Macaca mulatta: one gene and its partner. The protein of the gene in region 2 interacts with the protein of the main gene of each other region in a biochemical or structural test. Links are inferred from orthologs where the notes say so. Each region holds a gene or a part of one and is shown on either strand. Other genes may lie near its edges.

Region 1 (3,976 bases), on a different chromosome or scaffold from region 2:
TGTCCACGTCTAAGGCCCAAACAGCTGGGAAGATGTGGAATCACCTTTGTGCTGCCTGGCGGCTTAGGAAGGCCTTCATGGCCGGCCTCCTCCCACGGCCACACAGAGGAAAGGTGGATGTTAATACAGGTGACGAGACATGCAGAAAGAGGACCTGCGCCCAGCCCAAGGGCACATGTAGTTTTACATGCTGGCCAAACATTTATCAGTGCCCGCGAAGTGCTTCAGTGCGGGGGCTAGGCCTTACTGTGGCATAGAATCCAGATCAAATTCTACACTATCCCCTGGAACGCTTTGCTCCTACGGGATTCTAGGAGTAGTTCCCGCAGACCAGAGGTGGAGCAGCGCAGACCATCATGGAGGGTGCACTGTAGCCCGCACTCTTAGAAATAGAAAGTGTCATCTGGAGTGGAGAACGAGGGGCTGCTTTATTCTAACGGACTTTTTCTTTTGATTGTCTCAGTCCTCTGTTGGATTGCGTTCACCCCTGGCGCCAGGGCCCCCTGGCCCCACTCAAACGTGTGTGTGTGTGTGTGTGTGTGTGTGTGTGTGTGTGTGTGTGTCGGTGTTGGCGGGGGGGAGGGGGGGAAGTGTTGAGATTGCCTCTCCCCTCAACCTGTGGCATAGTCAGCAGACACCAACATGCCCAGCTGTCTTTTTCTTTTGACTTCAAAATAAACCTCAAGGGTGGACGGTGAAGAAGCATTAGAGCGCAGGACTAGTGCAGGTCGGGGATGGGGTCCGCTGGGGACTGCCCCCGGATAAAATGTGGAACAAATTATTCCCAACACGGCCGGGATCGCTATGACTTTGTGGTCTTGGGGCCCAAGGCCCTAAGCGTTGGAAAGGACACTCTGCTTATGCAGCAGCTTTCCTGGCAGAAAGTGAATTCAAATCGAGGATGTTTCACCACGCGGGTTTTGCCTAAGCATACATTTTTTCACACTTCTTTTAAAAAACAACCACCACAAACAAACAGAAAAAAAAAAGAAAAACCCACAACGATCCTTTGGACTTTCAGACCACCAGGATATGAGTCAAACGAAATCTCGTGTTAACACCCCGCTTCTTCCCCGCTGGAGGCCACCGGGAGTCCGGGAAGCGCTTGGCCCCCAACTAGCTTTCCGGCGGGCCGCCCGAGGGGCGGGCGCCGAGAGAAACGTCACTCTCTTCAGCGGCGACAACCCAGCGCGGGGCCACCTTCTCCAGCCATTAGGCTTAGGGAGGGACTGGCCTTTCAAAGACGTTTAATCCCCAGATAAAAATCATTCCTCAGCATCACGCCATTGAATTCTGGCTGCTATTATGCCGAGCAAAATAATCGGAGGAAACGAGGAAAACTTGGGAATTTCCCGTGCTCCTGAAATATCTGCGAGCGTGTTCTCTGAGCAGAGCAGCCAGGGGGCCGCGAGGCCTTGGAGCGAACTGCCTTGAGCACCTGGAGTCCACTTTAATGGCTCAGTTCTAGACATTTGTGAGCTTCCGACAGGATTAAAGAGGGCGCCTTCCCCTAATTGACTTGGTGCCCCGCCCCCTCCACTGGAACTTGAGTGTCCCCACCCCTGAATCATCCATCCGCCCAAAGCACCAACTATCTGCCTCAAACTCGAAGGGCATGGGGAGGTGGAATTCTGTAGAAGCTTCGGAACCTCTAGGCAAAGAGGTACTTGAAAGCGAAGAGGAGCTGGGGGACGCCAGCTCCTACTGTGAGAAAGTGAAACTCCGGGTGCAGGCAAGATCTGCGCACCACACACATTCATCCGCTGGGGTGAAGCCGATGAAACAGAGTTTGGGATCAGATGAGGGATCATGGACCCCCGGGGTCGTTTGGTGGGGGCAGGAGGACAGGGTGCCCAGACAACGGTGTCCTATCCGTTAACTCCCACCCGCGTCTCCGGGCCAAGGCGAGGAGGTCTGGAACCTTCTTCCTGGGTGGGAATGGAGGGAGGCGCAAGACCCGGCCTTGCAGCCCTCGACTCCCTAGCACTGGCTGCAGGTACGCAGGCGCCGGAGGCCAGCAGGAGCCCTCGGATCCCACACCCCGCCCGGCCCCCTCCCTCGGCGCCTGGGTTCTGGCTACTCACTGGCCGGCGGCGGGGAGAAGCGGGGGCTCTGCATCCAGGGCGTCCTCTCGGGCTTCTCGGGGCTCTCGGCTTTGACGAGCGCATCTTCTGGCAGCTTCAGGAGTCCCCCCACCGAGAAATGGCCGAGCGGCCGCGGCGAAGAGGGCGCGTCCGGGGCGCCCAGCGACCCCGGCGGGACGCCCAGTGGCTGCGCCGGGCCACCCGCCGCCTGCGCGCCCTCGGAGGGCGCCAGGGCGCTCTCCTTGGCCCCCGGCTTCCTGTGGTCGGCCATGAGAGCCTCCACGCTGAAGGGCAGGAGCGAAGGGGACACTTTGGGCTTGGCCCCCTCCTCGTCCGCGCCCATGGCGGCAGCCGTGGCCGCGGCTGCGCTGGGGGCCTGGCCTGCGCCTCCCCCCGCCGGCTTGCCGAAAGCGGAGTCCTCCACTTTGACACCGAGTGGCAAAGAAGTCATGTCAGCAGCCGGGGCCATGCAGAGCCGGGCCCCCCCTCCTGCCGCAGCACGGGCCAGCCGCCGGGCATGGGCTCGGGGCGGGCTGGGAGCGCTGCCTGCCTCTGGGAGCGCCCGGGGCTCTGGCGGGGCGGACCCTCCCGCGCGCGCCTCCCGCCCCTCCCCAGCAGGCCAGCTCCGGCGCGCTGGGCCTGGCTCCTGGTGGTCGCCGCCGCCGCCGCCGCAACACAGGCGGAGTTCCCGGGAGCACCCGCCGGTTCCTCGCCCTGCCGCGGCTCCCCAGAGAACTTGCTAATAAGGCGAGGCCAGCGCGGCGGCGGCCAATCAGCGCGCAAGGGGGCGGGCCCGGAGCGATCCATTGGGCCGCGCTCCTGGGGATTCTCCCGGAGGCGCGCTGGGCCTGGGGGCGCGCAGGGCAGGGCCCAGGCGGCGGAGGGCAGGAGAGGAGAGGGGGTGCCCGGGGAACTTTCCTCCGCGCTGAAGCCCAGGAGGCCCTCTCTGCGGGGGTCCCCCTGGGTCTCTATCTTTCTGTGTTCCCGGGGGATTTTCCCTTGTTCTTGCTCAGTCTCTTCTGTCCTCCTCTCCTCCCCTCCGCTCCTCAGCCCTCTTTTCCGCTACTCTTCCCACCTCCCCCGTCCTTGTTTCTCTCCTCTACTGCTTCTTTTACCTTTCTCTTTAGTCTGTGGCTGGGTTTCCCTGTGCCTTCTCCACTATCTGACCCCCCCCCCCTTCTTCTATTACAATAATTTGAGTTGAGGTCATTTCTTATACATTCCTTTTATATATTTTTTAAAATACGCATGGCTATTTATCCTAGGAGAAAGACATACTATTAACTTCTTTCCAAAAAACGAAACAAAATCAAACCTTCATTTTCTTCCTGTTCTGAAATCTTCTAAACTTTACCTAGAGGTAAAAGTGGGCCTTTGTCTCTAACTCAGAGCTGGAGTAAACCTTGCGGGAAGAAGCCAGCTTCCTGTGGTGCCAAGGATGTGAAAATACATAAGATTATCTAGAATCTGGAGTCGGCTTTCATACACCATGTGTATTTCTCCCCCACCCTCGCTCTGAACTTCTGTCCCGAGGGTCACAACACCTATAGGGCCCGGCCAGGGAAAGGAGCTGCCGGATTCTTTTGATATAGAAATAAAACCAACAGAAACATCAACAAAACACCGATCTGACCTTAACGTGACCTCAAACAACGCGTCCGCGGAAACAATGACATGTCCCTATCTCTGGGTCGCTGATTCTGGAGGGGAAAGTCACATTTGGGGGAGGGGGCCGGGAAAAGAGGACAGTTCCTGGCGGTGGACTCTCGTGCGGGACTTGAGAACTTTTGTTTTGCCGATTTCGGAGAAAACATGATTTAATGTTTGCTGTTAATAAAAAGAAAGTAACAGGAAAAAATGAGTTGGGGTCAGGGGAGATGCAAGATCTGTGC
Region 2 (3,500 bases):
TTTTGCTAAAGACACTTAGCTGTTGTTTTTCAAAAGATACGTACTTTGAGAGAACTCATTTTCATAATAAATAGTGACTTAGGTTTGCCAGGCGTGGTGGCTCATGCCTGTAATCCCAGCACTTTGAGAGGCCGAGGCGGGCGGATCATGAGGTCAGGAGATCGAGACCATGCTGGCTAACATGGTGAAACCCCATCTCTACTAAAAATACAAAAAATTAGCCGGGCGTGGTGGCGCACGCCTGTAGACCCAGCTACTCGGGAGGCTGAGGCAGGAGAATGGCATGAACCCAGGAGGTGGAGCTTTCAGTGAGCCGAGAATGCACCACTGCACTCCAGCCTGGGCGACAGAGCGAGACTCCGTCTCAAAAAAAAAAAAGAAAAAAAGTGACTTAGGAGTAGGGTGGTGGTGGTGGTGGCTTTTCAGAGCTCACAGGTGAGAAATGAGTTTGTCTGTGAGAAGGCTAAGGGCATGGCTCTGGAGACAGACTCAGATCCTGGCACCTCCACTTGGGAGCCATGTGCATCCTGAGGAAGTTGCACTACCTTTAAGCCTCAGCTTATTTATCCGAATGTGGGAATACTGGTAGCTTCTACCATAGTGCATTATAAGTATTAAATGGAATAATCTATATAAAATGCTCAACATGTGCATGATACTTGTTAAACAATAAATGTGAGCAATTTTAAAAAATTAAAGCCTGGTTGAAATAATCAAATGTGTGCATAATTTCTAACACCTCATCCAGTGAAGGTTAAGTAATTTAAATAGTCATGTTTTCTTTTTAAATTTCTTACAGAAATATTGTATCCACAGTGAATCTTGGTTGTAAACTTGACCTAAAGACCATTGCACTTCGTGCCCGAAATGCTGAATATAATCCCAAGGTTAGATCTATTTTAATGTGTTTCTTTTTTTTTCTTTTTTGTCTTCTCTGTCATGTCTCTATATTTTAATGTATTTCACGCTATGTAACAAATGTCTGTAGATCACTCTAGGCACAGTGGCTAATGCCTGTAATCCCAGCACTTTGAGAGGCTGAGGAGGGAGAATTGCTTGAGCCTAGGACTTCAAGACCAGCCCAGGCAACATGGCAAGACCCTGTCTCTTAAAAAAAAAAAAAAAGAAAAAGAAAGAAAAATCGGCCAGGCTTGGTGGCTTACACCTGTAATCCCAGCACTTTGGGAGGCCGAGGTGGGCGGATCACCTGAGGTCAGGAGTTCAAGACCATCCTGGCCAACATAGTGAAACCCTGTCTCTACTAAAAAGACAAAAATTTGCCGGGAGTGGTGGCTTGTGCTTGTAATCCCAACTACTTGGGAGGTTGAGGCAGGAGAATCACTTGAACCTGGGAGACAGAGGTTGCGAGTGGAGATCGCGCCATTGCATTCCAGCCTGGAAACAGAGCAAGACTCCATCTCAAAAAAAAAAAATCTGTATATCAAAGAGTTTGTGTTATGCTTATTCCTTGACACCAACAAAATGAAGATCTAAAGTAAAATGTGCATTGTTTTGTATCTTTTATTGAGTGTCTGTGATATCAGAATCCCTGGGAATACAGCAGTCTATAAAACAAGCTAAGTTACATATATATTGTATTGGGATCATGTGAAGAATTTTGTATATGTATAGGGATGATGTTTGCCAGCTATAGTAGGCAAAGTAATTTGGATAAACATTAGCTGGGTTGAGAGAAGTGTTAGTAATGGACTTAGGGTGCATTTTAAAACCCCTGAAACATAATGCCTAAGATCTGAAAGATAGCTAAGCTAGGGGTCTGAAAAATCTCCTTTTAACCACTCATAATGAGTCTGTATGACATGTAGCATTTTAAGAATTAATCTTTCATCTATTATAATATTTAGTTGAATACATAATTTTATTACTTTATGATCTTAAGTGAAGTGATACTTAACCAATAGAAATAGTAGAGGAAATTCTGGAAATGCAAAATAGCTAGGCTTTTCCTGGGACTTAGATAAACTACTATACACTGCTAGCTTTTTTAGATGTTGATAAAAACACAGGGAAGACATAGAGCAGTTTTTAAACTAAAATTGTTAAAAGCCAGGCACGGTGACTCAGACCTGTAATCTCAGCACTTTGGGAGGCCAAGGTGGGAGGATCGCTTGAGGCCTTCGAGACAAGCCTGGGCAACATAGCAAGACCTTGTTTCATCAGAAAATTTAAAAAATTATCTGGGGTTGGTGGCACACACCTATAATCTCAGCTACTTGGGAGGCCAAGACAGGAGGATCTCTTGAACTCAGGAATTCGAGGCTGCAGTGAGCCATGATTCCAGTCTGCACTCCAGTCTGGGCAACTGCAATCCAGTCTGGGCAACAAAGTGAGACTCTGTCTCTAAAAAAAAAAATTAATAAATTAAAAAAATAAAATTGTTAAAACAATCTAGTTTGTCAGAGTCATCTCAATTAGAAATACATAGGTTTTTATTGTATAATTAAATATAATGTATTAAAATATTTAAGTTGTTTCAAAGTAATTACTTGCTTTTTATCATGTACCTAATAACTGAGGCCATTAATTCAACCCACAGTTGAAATATTTTCCCCATGAGTTACCATCTTAGCAAGAAAATTTTCTGAAAGAATTAACGTGTTTCAAGCATAAAAAGCAGAAAATAAAAGTTAAAACTGTGTTTCTTTCCTAATTTGCATTTATATGTGTTTAATACATTAATATTGTTTCTAAAGGCCAATTGGAAGCAGGATTTTACTTCATTACATACTGGTATGCTTGTAATCTGATTTATTAATTCCATTAAGGTAGAAAACGTTTATTGGTTTATTTGCCTCAAAATTTATATTAATAAAACAAAATTTATCATTAGAGAAACTATAGTCATGATAAGCAGCAAATATAAAGTAGAAACCGAAGCACTGGTATTTATTGAGAACATGACCAAATTTTGCAAACATTTCTGTTGGTGGAATGCTCATGTGAAAGAACATACAGATCTTGGTATAACTTTGTCACAATTGATTATTTTCTGCTCCTTATGCAAAGGAATATTTGTTACATGTGGTGTATGCAAATCCTTTACAGATACGCAGAAATACAGGACAAATATTTTGATAACTAGATGTACTATGTCCTTCCTACCAGTTGTGATTTGTCAATGTGTAGTTCTCCTAACAAAATTGAGCAGTTTGGCATGACCTCACTAATGATTCTCTCTATTTTAGCGGTTTGCTGCAGTAATCATGAGGATAAGAGAGCCACGAACCACGGCACTGATTTTCAGTTCTGGGAAGATGGTGTGCACAGGAGCCAAGAGGTAGCCGTAAGAAATTCATTCTTCTGGTTTATGGGTTGTGAACGAGTTTTTAGGTTATTAGGTTAGCACTTTAACATGTTATTACTGCTTTCTTATTAAAATGGTTGATTCTATTAATTGTAGATACCAGTGATTTCATTTTCTTAAAAATTAGATATGGACAGGTATGGTATCTCACACCTATAATCCCAGGAGGCCAAGG

The links. The genes of interacting proteins can lie anywhere in the genome.
Region 1: the proteins of TBP (region 2) and MSX1 form a complex in vitro, tested with the Homo sapiens proteins (2 studies listed by BioGRID). The link is inferred for Macaca mulatta from reciprocal best matches to the Homo sapiens genes TBP and MSX1.

What each region holds. Positions count from the first base shown.
Region 1 is NC_133410.1:8,115,602-8,119,577, forward strand, and holds the start of MSX1 (homeobox protein MSX-1), read right to left. Parts: upstream 2,801-3,976; 5' UTR 2,554-2,800; coding exon 2,085-2,553; intron 1-2,084. UniProt on the Homo sapiens protein: Acts as a transcriptional repressor. Capable of transcription autoinactivation.
Region 2 is NC_133409.1:1,484,013-1,487,512, reverse strand, and holds part of TBP (TATA-box-binding protein), read left to right. Parts: intron 1-799; coding exon 800-887; intron 888-3,206; coding exon 3,207-3,298; intron 3,299-3,500. UniProt on the Homo sapiens protein: The TFIID basal transcription factor complex plays a major role in the initiation of RNA polymerase II (Pol II)-dependent transcription.